Notamacropus eugenii: one gene and its partner. The protein of the gene in region 1 purifies or fractionates together with the protein of each later gene. This does not show direct contact. Links are inferred from orthologs where the notes say so. Each region holds a gene or a part of one and is shown on either strand. Other genes may lie near its edges.

Region 1 (7,206 bases):
CATGCTTTGACCTTCGGCAAATCAAGGAACCAACCTGGGCTTTCAGTTTCTTAATCTATTATCATTTTCACTTGCCTGTCAAAATTCCTGGACAGTAGGTTACTACAAAGGCACACTTTTTAACAAGGGAACTGAATTATCAAAAAAGAAAAAATTTCCTGGCATTAGGCTCCACTCAAATCCATCTGCAATGCCACTGGCAATTATGTCTCCAAAGCAATTCTCAGCACAGTGAACAGTTTTAGTTTGTAAATTATCACCAACACAGGTGACTCATTTCTTCTAAAGTTGAAATATAGAATTTGAAGTTAGAAAAAGGCCAAAGCTAAAAAAAGACGTTGGTTGCCAAAGTATTGAAAACTACCTGTAAGTTGGAAAACACTGGATATTAAAATGCAAAAGGATTTATTTTATGAATTATGTTATGTCAAACTTACAAGCTTCCTTTCTTAAAAGACAAAATTTTAGCAAAGTTAAAATATTAGCAAAGACCTCTTACTCCTCAAGAGGGTGGCTGGGGGAGGTGAGAAACACATCTTAAGGTCAAAACTAGAGAAAGACGAAGCAAGTGGAGCAAAATGAAAACCTCATATGATGAGCAAAGATATTTATTCAAATATTGAGTCAACAAAATTTATAAAAATAACTCGTGAACACATTTAGAATTCTCTCAATCATCCAAAGGGATCAAAAGTGGCAATATAGTTTGCATGTCAAAAATAGACAGGGGGAAATTAGATAATATCCAGTCTATAGACTAAAATCCTGAAAAAAAGAGGCCAGGTACTTACTTCACTCCCACATTACAAGAGGGAGAACTCCAAAGTTCTGTACTCTCAGCACTCCAAGGCTAAGCTTGCCAGTCAAAATTAGCCAACAAAAAAAAATTCAGAAGGAAACCATTTGTTGGACCTTTCTAAACCAGGGATCACTATGAGCAAGTTTCTAAAATCTTTTACACCATAACTAAAATTGAATAAGGAAATCACTTAAAAAGTTATTTAGTGAAGTTAGATCGAGACAGACAATTCAACAGATGAAAGTTACGTCTTTAGTGAGCTCCTGAAAGTCAACTGAAACATTCAGGTAGCCACTATTAAGGATGCCAATTACTGTGTAAAATAAGAAAATTTCAAGTAGTAAGAAGTGAATCAAAGTTAAAGCACCCCCACTCCCCCAGGATAAGTGGCTTGGCACAGAGTAGGCACCTGAATAAACCATTTCTATTCATAACTAGAATTAGCTTATTGGAGATTAGCATTCTAACCTGCAAAAATTAAGAACTTGGATTCTTGTGAATACATATTTTTTAGAGAAATTATTTACCTAAAATTCTTTCTCATCTGTAAAATGTATGAAGAAACCAAAATATCTTCCCAGGAGGTCTGTGCTCACCAACATACCCAAATTTCAAAGTAAATGATTTGTAAATCAGGCCCTATTATTAACAAAGGCACATCTACATAGTGATATCCACATGTATTCTAGGGTTCATACATGCTCCACTGTTTTTTAAATGAACTTGGTAGATCCGCAATTCAAGAATCAAATTTGGAATGCCTTTCAAGAATGGAAAAATACATGTTTAAGAACAGCAGTGTACCTCCTTTATAATCCCCTCCTCCTTTTGAATACCATCGGAGAGAAGGTTCTTCAGATGCAACGAACCCAGTCTTAACCTTTAAAACCAATGCCCAATATCAAAGTTCTCCTACACTCCTATTAACCCCATCTCAAGCATTTGTCAAATTCCCATTCTCCCACTGTAAAATGGTGTCTATATCCCAAAAGGCTAGGTAAAATTCTCTCCAAACTTGAGGATTTTAAAGTCATTTAGCAAAATAAACGCCCATCCTTCCATCTTGGCGGACACGATGCACTGTGTCCATCTATTCCCATCGAGCTGTTTCAGATGTTCCCAAACTAGCGCCTGATCGAGACCGACCCTTCACGGCGGGAGCAACAAGGTCTCCCTTACTGTCAGATGGCCAGCCATTTTTCCTCTTCATTTTCCTGGCAGCTCCAACTACACAACAAGGAACAAGGAGACCGGTGGCCATCAGGGTGGGAGACGGCAAGAGGGTCTCCGAATGTCTCTATCGACACACAAACCACGCCGAGCCCAAAACAGAGTGAAACACCGAGAACTGCGAATGCTAAAAACCTGAACTAGGCATCTTGAACCGAGTCGAAGCATCCAAAAAATCTAAACCACTCCTTGCCAACTAAGTTCCAGTGCAACCAGTTCGTGGTTTCTTGGATCCTGGGAAACCCGCAGCTTCGCCTTCAACTTCCAGCCTGCCTTTCGGGGCCCCCGCTCCCTAAATCTGTACGTCGCTCCCCAAACCCAAAAAAGCCGATAGAAGACAGTCTAGAGCCAGCAGGTCCACCCGCCCCCCCGAAAAAAGCCAAACTAACCCTTGTCCTCGCTCTTCCTCAACCTGCTGAGCCTAAAGGAGCTTCAGACATTTTGGTCTGAGCAAGCGAAGCCACGGGAGATGCAGAGCAAGCTCGGCCCGTGCATACTCCATATTGATTCCGAACGCCAGTGGCAAAAAACCCGAACCGAGGATTACGGGGCAAGGGGAAGGCGAAGACGCCCCGCACGTCCAGCCTCGGAGACTCAAGGTCCACAGCGAAAATACTCAAGGAGGCAGGGACCATTTCAGCCCAGATCCAGGAAAGAAGGGGAAGGGAGGAAAAAGTAGGAAGTGGGGAGGAAAACCAGCCGTGCGGGCGCTGGGGGTGGGGGGGCGAGGGAGACTCAGGGCCCGGAAGGCGACGGGCTCCCGCAGCCCGGCCAGGAGACGCAGCTTCCCGGGCCATTGGGGGCCCACCCCCCCAACCCCCCCACCTCCCCACCCCGGCAGGGGCCGCGCACCTGGGGCCGACCGGACTGACCTGTGCCATCGCTGGCGGCCACAGAGAGGGCCGGGGACGCGAGCTTGGGCCGCTTGGGGGCGGGCGGCCCGGGCTCCACCACGTTCTCGGCCATGGCTGCGGGCTGCGGGCCGCGGGCTCCGCTGGGCTGGGCTCGGCTCCGCTCCGCTCGGCGCTCGCTCGCTCTCTGGCTCTCGCTCGCTCGCTCGCTCGCTCGCTCCGGCTCCGGCGGGCACACTCACGCACACTCACACTGGCTCCCACGCACGCTCACGCTCACGCACGCTCCCCCCCTAGTGGCGGGGCCGGCGCGGCTCCCGGCCGCTCGTCGGGGCGCTGGCGGGGCTGGGGCCTGCGGGGCGCCATGGGCCGCGGCCTCGTCGCCGTCTTCATCGCCGGCCCGGGGGCTCGTCGCCGGGGGTCGGGTCGGGCCGGGCCGCCGCCTCACATCGTGCTGCCGCTGCCGCCGCTGCTGCTGCCTCTCCGGCGGCGGCGGCGGCTCGGGCCGGGCCGCGCCGCGGGGCCTCCTCCGCCCGCCTCCGCCTCCTCCTCGGCCTGGGCCTCGCCTCCGCCTCCTCCGGGGCCGGGCCGCGCACCCAAACAAAATGGCGGCTGTTGTTCGTCCGCGGCGCGGCGCTCGGCTGCGCGGCTCCGGCTGCGCTGCGCGGCGCCCGCTCGGCTCGGCCCGGGCCCCGCCTCGCCTCGGCCGCGCTCGGCTCGGCTCGGCTCGGCTCGGCCGCCTCGGCTCGGCTGCGCTCGGCTGCGCTCGCTTCGGCTGCGCTCCGCTCTTCTCCGTCCGCTCCGCTCGGCCTAGTCCTCCCTCTTCCTCCTCCTCTTCCTCCTCCCCCAGCCCTCCTCCTCCGCCTCCGCCTCCTCCTGCTCCTCCTGCTCCCAGGCGAGCGCCGGCGGCGGCGGCGGCGGCGGCGGCGGCGGCGGCGGCGGCAGCAGCAGCAGCAGCAGCAGCGGCGGCGGCAGCGGCGGCGGCGGCCGGGGCAGCAGCAGCAGTAGCGACGGCGGGGGCCGGAAATGAGCCAAGGGGGAGGGGGGCAGGGGGCGGGGCCGGAGGCGGACGGACGGACGGCGGCGGGGGGAGGGAACCCGAGGAGAAGGGGCGGGGCCTGCCCCCCCTCGGATAGGCTCGCACAATGGGCACCGAGAAGGCCGCAGGAGGCGGGGCACTGGCCGAGCCCGGGACCGCCCCCTCCTCGCCTTCCCCCCGCCCGCCCGTCGACAACGCGCAGGGGGCTTCCGCAAACTCCCCAAGCGAGCGTCATTCTTAAAGGGGAGGAGCGGAAGGGGGGGGGGGGTAAGGAGGAATTTAAAGTCGGAGGGTAAGGACGGCGCGGGAGTTGCTGGCGCTGGCCTCCGCTGGGAGAGAGGAGAGGAAGGTGCTACGCCCTGAAATGAGCCCAGGCACTGCGCAGGGGGTTGCCTCCTAATGCGCCCCTGTCCGTCCTCCACCCCCTCCCACCTAGCAGACCCCTATTCCTGGCTCCTGCCGCCCCCACCCCCAGGCCTGATTAATAAAGAAAGAATGACATGTAATTAATCGGAAGCGCCCGCCCGCCCCCCGCAGGCCACTCCGGCCAACCCCGCCCTGGTCCGGCAGGTGTTGCCCCTAGGAAAAGCCGAGACTCGAGCCAGTGCGCCAGCCTCGGGGCCGAGGTGGGCACGGAGGGCCGCAGCACTTTGGGAGGGTTACTGGTAAATAGAGCTGGAAGAGATCGCGCCGACTGACTGCCTCCGTGCCGCTCCTTTTACAGAGCAGGAAACTGAGGCACGGGCAGGGGAGCGGTTTGTGATAGCCCAAAGCCCCGCTGGTAGTACGGAACCTGGATCCGCTGCAGCCGGAGCCTAATGCACTTTCCTCCCCCTCCCCCAGACCCACCCCTGTTTTTCCATTTGACGTGGATTATCTGAGACTCTTAACTTGCCATCCGTGATCACAGCACTTCAGTTACACTCCTCTATGTTTTATTTTATTCACTGAATGACATGACTCGGAGAAGGGACATAAACAGCATGAAGAACCCTTGGTTTTGACACCCTTCCTTGGATGGAGGGAGCGGCAGGGGGCCGAAGGAACAAGCATTTATTAGAGCCTACTATGTGCCATGCGCTGTTCTAATACTTTACAAATAGAATCTTTGTAAGTATGGACTGGGATCCAGGCAGAGGACCTAAGCTGAAGCTGTTACTGTTTGAGAGAGCTTGGCAAGTCATCATCCCCTTGGTACAAACGAGAGTCAGAGGACAAGAAATCAAAGCCTTCCCCTGGCACTTAATACTTATATGACCCCTGCGCATATCTCCTCCAGTCTCACAAAAACCCAAACTTGAGGGTGTTGGACTAGGTGGTTTTGGAAGGTCCCTCCAGCTTTCTATGATCCCTGTTTCCTGTTCTACAAAATGGAGGTTAAAGAGAAGATAGTGGGCTTCCCCTCCTCCCTTGGTTTTAGGTCTTTAATCAAAGTCGGTATGACCACCTGTCAGGTGTGTGATAGAGGGAGGGGATTCGATTCAGAGATTTGACCAAGAGGGCCCCTGGAGACCCTTCTGCCTCTGATTCTTTGCAATCACTAGGCTGAGAGGACCTCCTGCCTCCAAAGTATGGAATCCTAGGATTGTCCACATGGCCTCCGACAATGAAAAGAGCCTGGAACTTAGATTCTGGATAAACCAAAGTTTAAATTTTGTCCCTGTCATCTCTTAGTTGTGTACTCATGAGCAAATTGCTCTTTGTCTCAGTCTCCTCCTCTGTAAAATGTCTAAAATAAAACTTTAAAGTGCCTGTGTTTGTAACCCCATTGATTAGCACATACTGAGCACAGGATAAATGTTTTTCATTCATACCTGCATTCATACCTGCTTCACTAGGTGCTCAGGAGGTTCAAATGATATAATGGATATAAATTGATATAATGGACATAAATTCAGTATGCAGAGAAAATAGAAATCTCAGACTATGTATTTTACAGCTGCTGGTTGGGGCCTTCTCTAAGAAGAACATTTTCTTGCCTCCTTTAATAACATTTCCTGGCTTTCTTTAAGCCCCACCTCAGTTCCCAGTTCTTCAGGAAGCTTTCCCCAACCCCTCTTCATTCCAATGCCTTCCCTCTCTTAATTATTTCCTATTTATCTTGTATATAGTTTGTACATATTTGCTTGTTGTCTTCCCCACCCACTCACCTCCTGAGAACTAAGTGTTGGTCCTGGAACATGTTGTTCAGTTGTTTCAGTCCTATCAGACTCTTCCTGACCCCATTTGGGGTTTTCCTGGCAAGAGATACTGGAGTGGTTTGCCATTTCCTTCTCCAGCTCAATTTTACAGATGAGGAAACTGAGGCAAACAGAGTGAAATGTCTTGCCCAGAGTCACACAGCTAGTTAAGTGTCTGAGACCTGATTTGAACTCAGGGAAGTTTGAACTTCCTGACATCAGGCCTGGCGCTCTAGCCACTGTATCAGCTAGCTGCCCTGGTAACTGCCCTGACTGACTAGCACTTAGCAATCACTTAATAAATTCTTGCTGAATGATCTATTCAGGAAGCTAAGGCCTTGAAGTAGGAGAGGATTTGGCCAAGATCACATAGCTATTGAGAAAGCATTGGGATTAGAACCCAGTTCCTCTGATCCAAATCCGAGGCTCTTTCTATTACACAAGTTCTTTTCCTGCAAAGGGAAGAAAATAGTAATGACTAGGATATAGAGCACCTACTACGTACCAGGCAGTGTGCTCAGTGCCTTCCAGTTCTCTCATACGATCCTCACAACAACCTGGTGAGGGAGGTGCTATTTTGTCCCCAGTCTGCAGCTGAAAAAACTGAGTGACTTGCCCAGGGTCATTGGGCCAGTAAGTGTCCCTTCCAACTCCAGGCCCCACTCCCTCCACATATCTCCCCTAGGGAAGGAGCAGGTAGACAGTGGTAAGAAGGAAAAGCAAGGAATTTGTTTCACTGAGATGACATCAGAACAGTGGTTAAAGAAAAAAAAAGTCCTCATTTCTAACCCTTCCCCCTGGATTTACTGCTCTGCTCCCCTGGGAGTTTCAGGACTCCAGAGAAGCCTGACATTTCTAAACTTTGGGCCATAAGATCATAAAATTTAGGAGAAGACCATCAGGCCCAACTCCCTCATTTTACAGAGGAGGAAACTGAGGCCCACAAAGGGGCATTGACTTGCCCCAAGGTCGCCCCCCTGGTAAGTTTTAAAACAGCAATTCAGGGGCAGCTAGGTGGTACAGTGGATAGAGCACCAGGCCTGGAATCAGGAGTACCTGAGTTCAAATGTGGCCTCAAACACTGACTGTATGACCCTGTACAAGTCA
Region 2 (7,293 bases), on another chromosome or scaffold:
TAATTTGCAATTATGTTTTTCTAGCTCGTATTAAAGTGTATCAAAATACTATTTAAAATAATGCTATTTTGAAAGATTATTTCTCTGGAAAACACTAACAACTTTTTGGGTAATTATGATCTTCCTCCAAGATGATCAATTAAATAATGAATAAAAAAATCATTAGATCTGCATAAGTATGTGAGGCTTAAAGAGAATATAATATTACTACCTTCAAAAGGTTTTTCCCCTACATAAGTGACTTTGATAAAGAAAACAGACTTCTATCTGATATCTGCACTATTTCTTTCATTGCTTAGATGGCAGGCAGTGCAGATATATGAGGTAAATGTAAAAACCTCATTTGGATTCAAAAAATAAACTTTGCAAGTTCAAGATGAGGAAAACATAGTTATCTGAAACGGAAACATGTCATCTGAAAGAGACCTTGCAGCTGCAAGTTCAGTTTGAGTGAAGAGAGTGATATGGGTGACAGAAAAGGTGATATGATACTAACCTGTGTTTACTGAAGCATCATAATGGTTATAGTTCAACTATACTGTGCCTTGGTAAGACCACATCTGGAGTACTGTGTTTAATTTTGGGTGCTGCATTTTATAAAAGAATGTTTATAAGCTCAAGAACATCTAGAGGACTAACTAGGATTGTGAAGGGTTTCAAGATCATGCCACATGTGATTCAGTTGAAGGAAGTGGGAAGATTTAACTTGGAGACGACCTAGGGAGATACACGACTACCATCTTCAAGTATCTGAAAAGCTGTCATGTGGAAAACGGATTGGCCTTGTTCTTTTATGGCTAGAACAAAACTAGAAGCAAGGGCTGGAAGTTAGAGGGTAGATTTAGGCTTCATATAAGAAAAAAACTTTCCTAATGAGAGCGCTCCAAGAAGGAAATGGGCTACCTGAGAGAATGTTACCAAGAAGTCATCAGACAAAAAGAACGGATGGTCACTTGCTGAAGATGGTGGAGAGAGGATTTTTGTTCCAGTATTGGACACAGTAGACAGGTTCTAAGGACCCTTCCAAATCAGATTCTATGCAACTGTCTAGGAAGTATTTTGAGAACATTATCTTGTACTTCCTGTCTCTTCAAAGTAGTGTATAAATAGTAGCAATAGGATGCTTTTTCTTAAAAGAAATATCACTGTGTATCCTTCCCTCATAAAACATTTTTTGAGTATCTACTATGGGTCAGTCATTATGCTAGGTACTAGAAATATAAAGAAGACAGTAATATCCAAATAATATAAGATTACATTTTTAAAACTAGAATGGTTAACAATATAAAACTTGGGAAATGCTTATACTTTACAATTCATCAGTCAGTAGTTTAGGTCAATACTTTAAAACTCTTAAATAATTCACTTTTAGTTTTCTAGGATGAAATAATCAATAAACATTTATTAAGTCCTACTACATGTCAAGTGTTGGTGATAAAAAGACAAAAAACACAACAGTCCTCAAGGAGCTTACATTCTATTGGGGAAAATAACACACACAGGATCAAAAATAATTGGGAAGGCAGGGGAGAAGCACCAGCAGATCAGTAAGAACTTCTGTGACTCAATTTTTAAATAAAAAAAAATGGCTCATTTTACATACTTCTTAAGAATGCTCAAAGTTATGTATTGGTGTTCATAATGGGTTCTTGGGTTCAATGTGGCCAATATAACTTGATAATCTAATCCAACGACCTGAATTACATAGTCCTTAATCCCTGATTCCATAAATATCTAGACCTCTAAAATAAACTTTTACTAACAAGCACCCATTTTTACAGTTTTAATAAAACAGATGAGAATGATTGGGTGTTTTTTTCCTAATGAGAACTCGCCTAAAACTCCCGTTAGTAACAATTGTTTAACAAATATGCTCTAATATAAGAAACAAAATGTTCCAAGGCTGAACATGGATAGCTTTTGAAATACTCCTTGGACGCGTTCATTTAATTATCTCCCCTACATGAAAGTTAACAAATTTTGGAGCCTATGTTCCTTCAACTACAATAAAAGGCTTGGCTTCCATAAGATATGGGTAATCCCTGTGACTCCATTGTATTTACAGAGTAGCTGTGCTGTTGGCTCCCACATCCCCTTCAGAGGAGGATTTTACACCAGACCTCAAGAGCACACAAGTAGGCACGCACAAAAGGGGCTCCCACCTCCGCCCTTTCCCTAGTCCCCTCCCAGGAAAAGACCACAGTCATTAATAAGGTAGCCCCCACAGGTGCCCTGGGGTGTGAAGGATAAAGAAAAGCTAAGGAAAAAATCCCAGATCATCCCCTGACAAAGACTTGGCTGTACACCAGCGGAGGTCACCGATGGGAACACACCTGCATTCACCTACGGAGGGGAGGGAAAAGAAAAAAGAGCAGGCCGGCCCTCCCAGAAGCCATGACTACTAGCGGTGGTGCGGTTCGCAGTGAGGATGCCCACCACCCAGGTCAGGGAGGTGAGCGGGCCCAGGTGCCCCTCCTGTTCCATGCCGCCGCCGCCGCCTCCAGCGCCCCAACGCACCAGCCGGATCTAGGGGGGCAGGAGAGGACTGCTCCTGCTCCAGGCCGGAGAGGAAGGGAACGTGGAAGGGGGGGGTCACGCCCACCTTCACAGCGGAGGGCACAGCCCCCCAGGAGCCTCCCCCAAAGCCGGGAGAGCCCGGAGCGGGGGAGAGCAGATGCCGTTATTCTGGGCAGAGGAAAGCGCGCGAGCCGGGAGGAGCCGGAACCCGGCCAGCCACCCACCTAACGGTCCGGTCCTCGAAAGGCCGCGGGGCAGGCGCCACCCAGGCCGCAGCGGGGGCGGAACTGCCATCACAGACCGAGGGAACAGGGACCCGGGCCGAGAAGGAGTGGATGGTGGGGGGTGGGGACTGTAGCGAGCGACGTCGCCATGTTAGCGCCTTCTTCCCTCGGTGCTCCCCGCCTGCTCCCGTCCGACACCCCGATCCCCACCATCACTCACCTTCCCCGCTCCCCTGGCTCGCGCGCCACCCCCGAATACGGGGGCCGTGACCACGAGCTCCGGCACCCACAGCTGTTTACAAACTACCCCCGGAGGAAAGGGCTGAACCGCACTTTAAAGGCCACGGGCTCCCACAGGCTTCCGTCCGATCTCGCGAGATCTTACTGACAACACTTCCCTCCGCCCCTTTCTCGCGCCTTCCCTCCTACATTTCCCCTCCCACGTCCCCTTCCCCTCCCTACAAAAACGTCCCCTCCCCTTCCTGCCGCAGGACCAACTGCCGGTCCCGGCTGGCTAGACTAAGAGGGTGGGGCGGCAAAAGAGTTGGAGTGGGATTAAAGGAAGAGGAGGAGAATGGGGTGGAGGCGGAGAACAAGAGACGGCTTACATCCTATGATTGGTCGAGGACCGTGAAGGGGCGGGAAGAAGGCGGGAAGAGGAAGGAAGTGGAGAGTTCTCTCAGGTTAGAAGCAGTGCGGCGGGCCGTGATTGGCCGGAAGGGAGTACAGTACGCGAGCGTTGGAATTCGGTAGTGCAGCGCGCCGAGGTCCTCCGGGGGGGAGGAGGAATAGGTGAGGCTGTGAAGTGTGGCTCCCATGCCCAGCCACGGGGCAGGGCTTGGCAGTTAGTAGGTGCTGCCCTCTTCTCAAGTGACTCCTCGGGCGCCTGAAGACCTGGGAGAGAAACGCGACACCCTCCTCCTCCTCTTGCTGCTCCCCTCCCCCGGCGCCACCCTCAGTCCTGGGGCGCATGCGCAGTCCCTCTCGCCTACCTGAAGGGGCTCTGTCCGCTGCTGCCACATCAGTCAGAGGCGGAGCTCAGGTGGTGGAGTGGGTATTTTTGTTTGCCTTTTTTAAGTGCCTACACACCTAAAGAAAAAAAAGACGCAGGCTGAGAGGTGGTTTTGAGAGCGGACAGCCAGAGTAATCGATCGCTTCGGTTCGCTTCCGACTAGAATGAAAGCTGCCTGAGAATTTGGACTCTATTTCCAAGTAAATGTTAGTCACGTGGGACCCAAGTTGAAAGGGATTTCGCCCCAACAGCCTCCACTTTCACCTGGTTGTTAGAGAAGGTTCCCTCCTGGTCACCCCCGATCGCCATATAGGAAGGAAGGGACTCGTTCTTCCCTTCAGGACCAGAATGTGAAGCTTACCTTACCACTGCCGAGGTTGCAGGTGGAAATGACCTTCCTAGGCTACACTCATCCATCACTTTTTTTCTCATTAATAGAGCTCAAATAAGGAGTCAGGCTTGGGGTTCTGGAGTCCGAGAATCTCGAGTTACTTGTTATTTGTTGTCTGTGTAACCTTGTGAAAGTTATTTCCCGTCCCTGGCCCTCAATTTCTTCATCTATAAAAATGAAAGGACTTAGATGAGATCACCTTTAAAGTCCCGTACAGCCCGAATTCTGTGATGGCTGTAAATGGCTGCACCTTCAGCTTTGATGGGTATTTACAAAATGAAGAAAATCACTTTTTTAAATTCTGAAAAATTATGCCTGTACATTGCTCAAACATAATTGTGTTTGCATTTATTAGTAATCCCACCAAAGAATCACCCACAAATTTCATTTTTGATTTGCACTTTCATGGGATTTAGAATTGAAAGAATCTTTAAGTGATCGCCCAATCCAAATTCTTCCTTTTGCAGATGAAGAACTGAGACCCAAAGAGATTTTAAAAACTTGCCTGATTTCACACAGAGAAGAGCTAGATTCAAATATAGATCTTCTAACTCCAAATCTGCGCTTTTCACAGTTTAGCAGTCATGAAGTATATACAATTTGCAAGTCACCAGGCCCTGGTCATACAAAAAGAAAAATGAGACTCCATACTTCGAGAAGATTGCCTTCTCCTGGAAGGTTAAAAGGTGAAGATGTGTAATATCTGCTAATTTAAGGACAAAAAAAGCATAGCATTCTAAGTTTTCTTTCAAAATTATGGAAAGGAAATTGAGATTATGAAATATTGCCCACAATAATTTGATTCATGCTTAGAAAACAATAATCATCTCACTGTATTTCCTCTTGGTATGTATAACAGTATTTTTTCTAGTTATACTTAAATAAAGATCCACAATACATTTCTCTAATGGCAAATTCAGAAGTGAACATTGGGGACTTCAAATATAACTTATCAGTTCAGCAAAGTTCAGTTATTAATTAAAGCCTTTTCAAACAATAGTTGAATCACTTGAAAAAGTTATAAAAAATTATATGTAGAAATAATACCAAAATGAGCATTATATTGTGACTATCACATTACAGACATCACTTATAATTCCAATAAAAAGGGGAACATCTGTCACCTTATAGATGGCTTTGTAAAGAATATTGATTTTATCAAACTCACGTGGAAGACCACAGGGCCAGCTTTTCATGTGAGCTTCCCTGAAATGTGCTTTATAGCCCTACTATTAAATTACAGGTGTGCTCCTAAAGATCATGAAAAGCACATGTACCTGGACTTCTTAATAATCAATCCCAAATTCTCTATACAATATATGGATTTCAAGGGTGTTCAGTAATATTAGTTAATCAAGACTATTTGTCCAATGGATTATTTAATGAAATAAGTTAGTCATTGGCATTGGCCTGAAAAGTATTTTTGCCCCCCTAGTGAAACTTAAGAATCTTTCATTAACAGCACTTTCTATAAGAGCAAATTTATTTCAGTATTCTCTAATCAGTTTTTTCTTCTTCCTGTTCACATTTTAAACAACTTTTAATGGCATGGGGGAAAAAAAACAAACCTAGACTGGGAGTCAGGAGATTTGGGTCTTAGCTCTGGTTTAACCAACGTAATTGATTTTAAACAAATCAAACCCAGAATATTTATCTGTAAAATAAGGGAGGGTGAGGAGTAAGACCAATTTCTAAGTTCTCAACCATAGCTACAATTCTATTATTCTGTTTTAAAGCAGATTAAATTATTAATATTTAATGTGATATGCCCTCCCAAAGTATATATATAAATATACAAAGTAAATTGATGCACAGATATTCAGATTATATTTCAAAGGTAAAGAATGTGCACTTCAGTAATGGTATCTGGCATTAAAAATGAGGTTGTAATGGCGCTGGACCTTTTAACAGATTTCTGGCATGCATACATGTACATGAGCCAACTCAATCCTCTTTTAAAACTAATTTTCAATACACTAAAGACAAGAAGGATGCCAGATTATTAATGCTTGAACATTAAAAATTAAAATGATGGTAACTTCCCAAATTTCATAGGAAACATCAAAGCATATCATTAAAATGAACTGTTTAAAAAACATCATCACATCCACAGTCCTTATCTATAGGAGCTTAAAAGTATTCACTGTAAAAATATTAATCTACAAAATGCAGAGTAAATTCATCATAAACAAGTCTGGAATGAATCATTAAAATAGTACCTCTTTACCCTCTCCAACACTTTATATAAGACAAAGCCAGCTGTGATCAGGACAAGAAAATTTCACAAACTCTTGTAGTTCAGCAGAGGAAATAACATAAGTGTATCTTACTTTACCAGTAGCTATGTTCCTGAAAACTTTCATGTGCATTTAATTTTTGCAAATCAATCATTTTCTCATTGACATACATTAAAGTTTTGAGGTGCTTTATCTTCATTTCTGATTAATCTTCATTTGGCAGTGACTCCTAATATTTTGGCTTTAAAATTCTCTTGCTCTCCTGACTCACTCAGCCTCCCTGCCAAGTAGTTAATGATTTACTTAAATGCATGAGGGGAACTTTCTATTTAAAGGAACTCTTCCATGAATTCTTTCAGAAAGAGAATGCTTCCATAACATGAATAATCATCTCATGATGGCTCTTTTATAAATTAATTTTTTTTTAATATCAGGTTTTCTAAAAATGAGGAAAATTACGGCAGAGCAGAGGAATGATAGAAAATAAACATGAACAGTCTGTGAGGGGGAAAGGCCCAAGTAGCAGCCAGTTATGTTGAAGGCACTGGTATCAGAGTTCTTTTTCTGTGGCCTCTTCAAATGCTTTTTCTTTCAATATCTTTTCTCAGTTCATCAGTCAATGATTTTATGCTTCCATATCCTCTAATCTCAATAGTGCCTACATTTCTTCTCATTCGCTTCCTTCTATCTGTAGTAAACATCTTCAAGAATCCTATTTTCCAGGAAGATAATAAATTTTGGAGAAGATGTGGGAGAGTTGGAACACTAATTCATTGTTGGTGGAGCTGTGAGCTGATCCAACCATTCTGGAGAGCAATTTTGAACTATACCCAAAGTAATATTGACCCAGCAATATTACTTCTGGGACTCTACCCCAAAGAGATCATAGAAATGGGAAAGGGTCCCATATGT

What was found. Proteins that work in one complex are often made in the same cells at the same time.
Region 2: the proteins of EP300 (region 1) and ATF2 purify together in Homo sapiens (affinity purification with mass spectrometry; 3 studies listed by BioGRID and IntAct, with this or other methods). This does not show direct contact. The link is inferred for Notamacropus eugenii from reciprocal best matches to the Homo sapiens genes EP300 and ATF2.

Annotation. Positions count from the first base shown.
Region 1 is NC_092874.1:300,164,947-300,172,152, reverse strand, and holds the start of EP300 (histone acetyltransferase p300), read right to left. Parts: upstream 3,173-7,206; 5' UTR 2,996-3,172; coding exon 2,902-2,995; intron 1-2,901. UniProt on the Homo sapiens protein: Functions as a histone acetyltransferase and regulates transcription via chromatin remodeling. Acetylates all four core histones in nucleosomes. Histone acetylation gives an epigenetic tag for transcriptional activation.
Region 2 is NC_092876.1:237,515,160-237,522,452, forward strand, and holds the start of ATF2 (cyclic AMP-dependent transcription factor ATF-2), read right to left. Parts: upstream 3,124-7,293; 5' UTR 2,962-3,123; intron 1-2,961. UniProt on the Homo sapiens protein: Transcriptional activator which regulates the transcription of various genes, including those involved in anti-apoptosis, cell growth, and DNA damage response.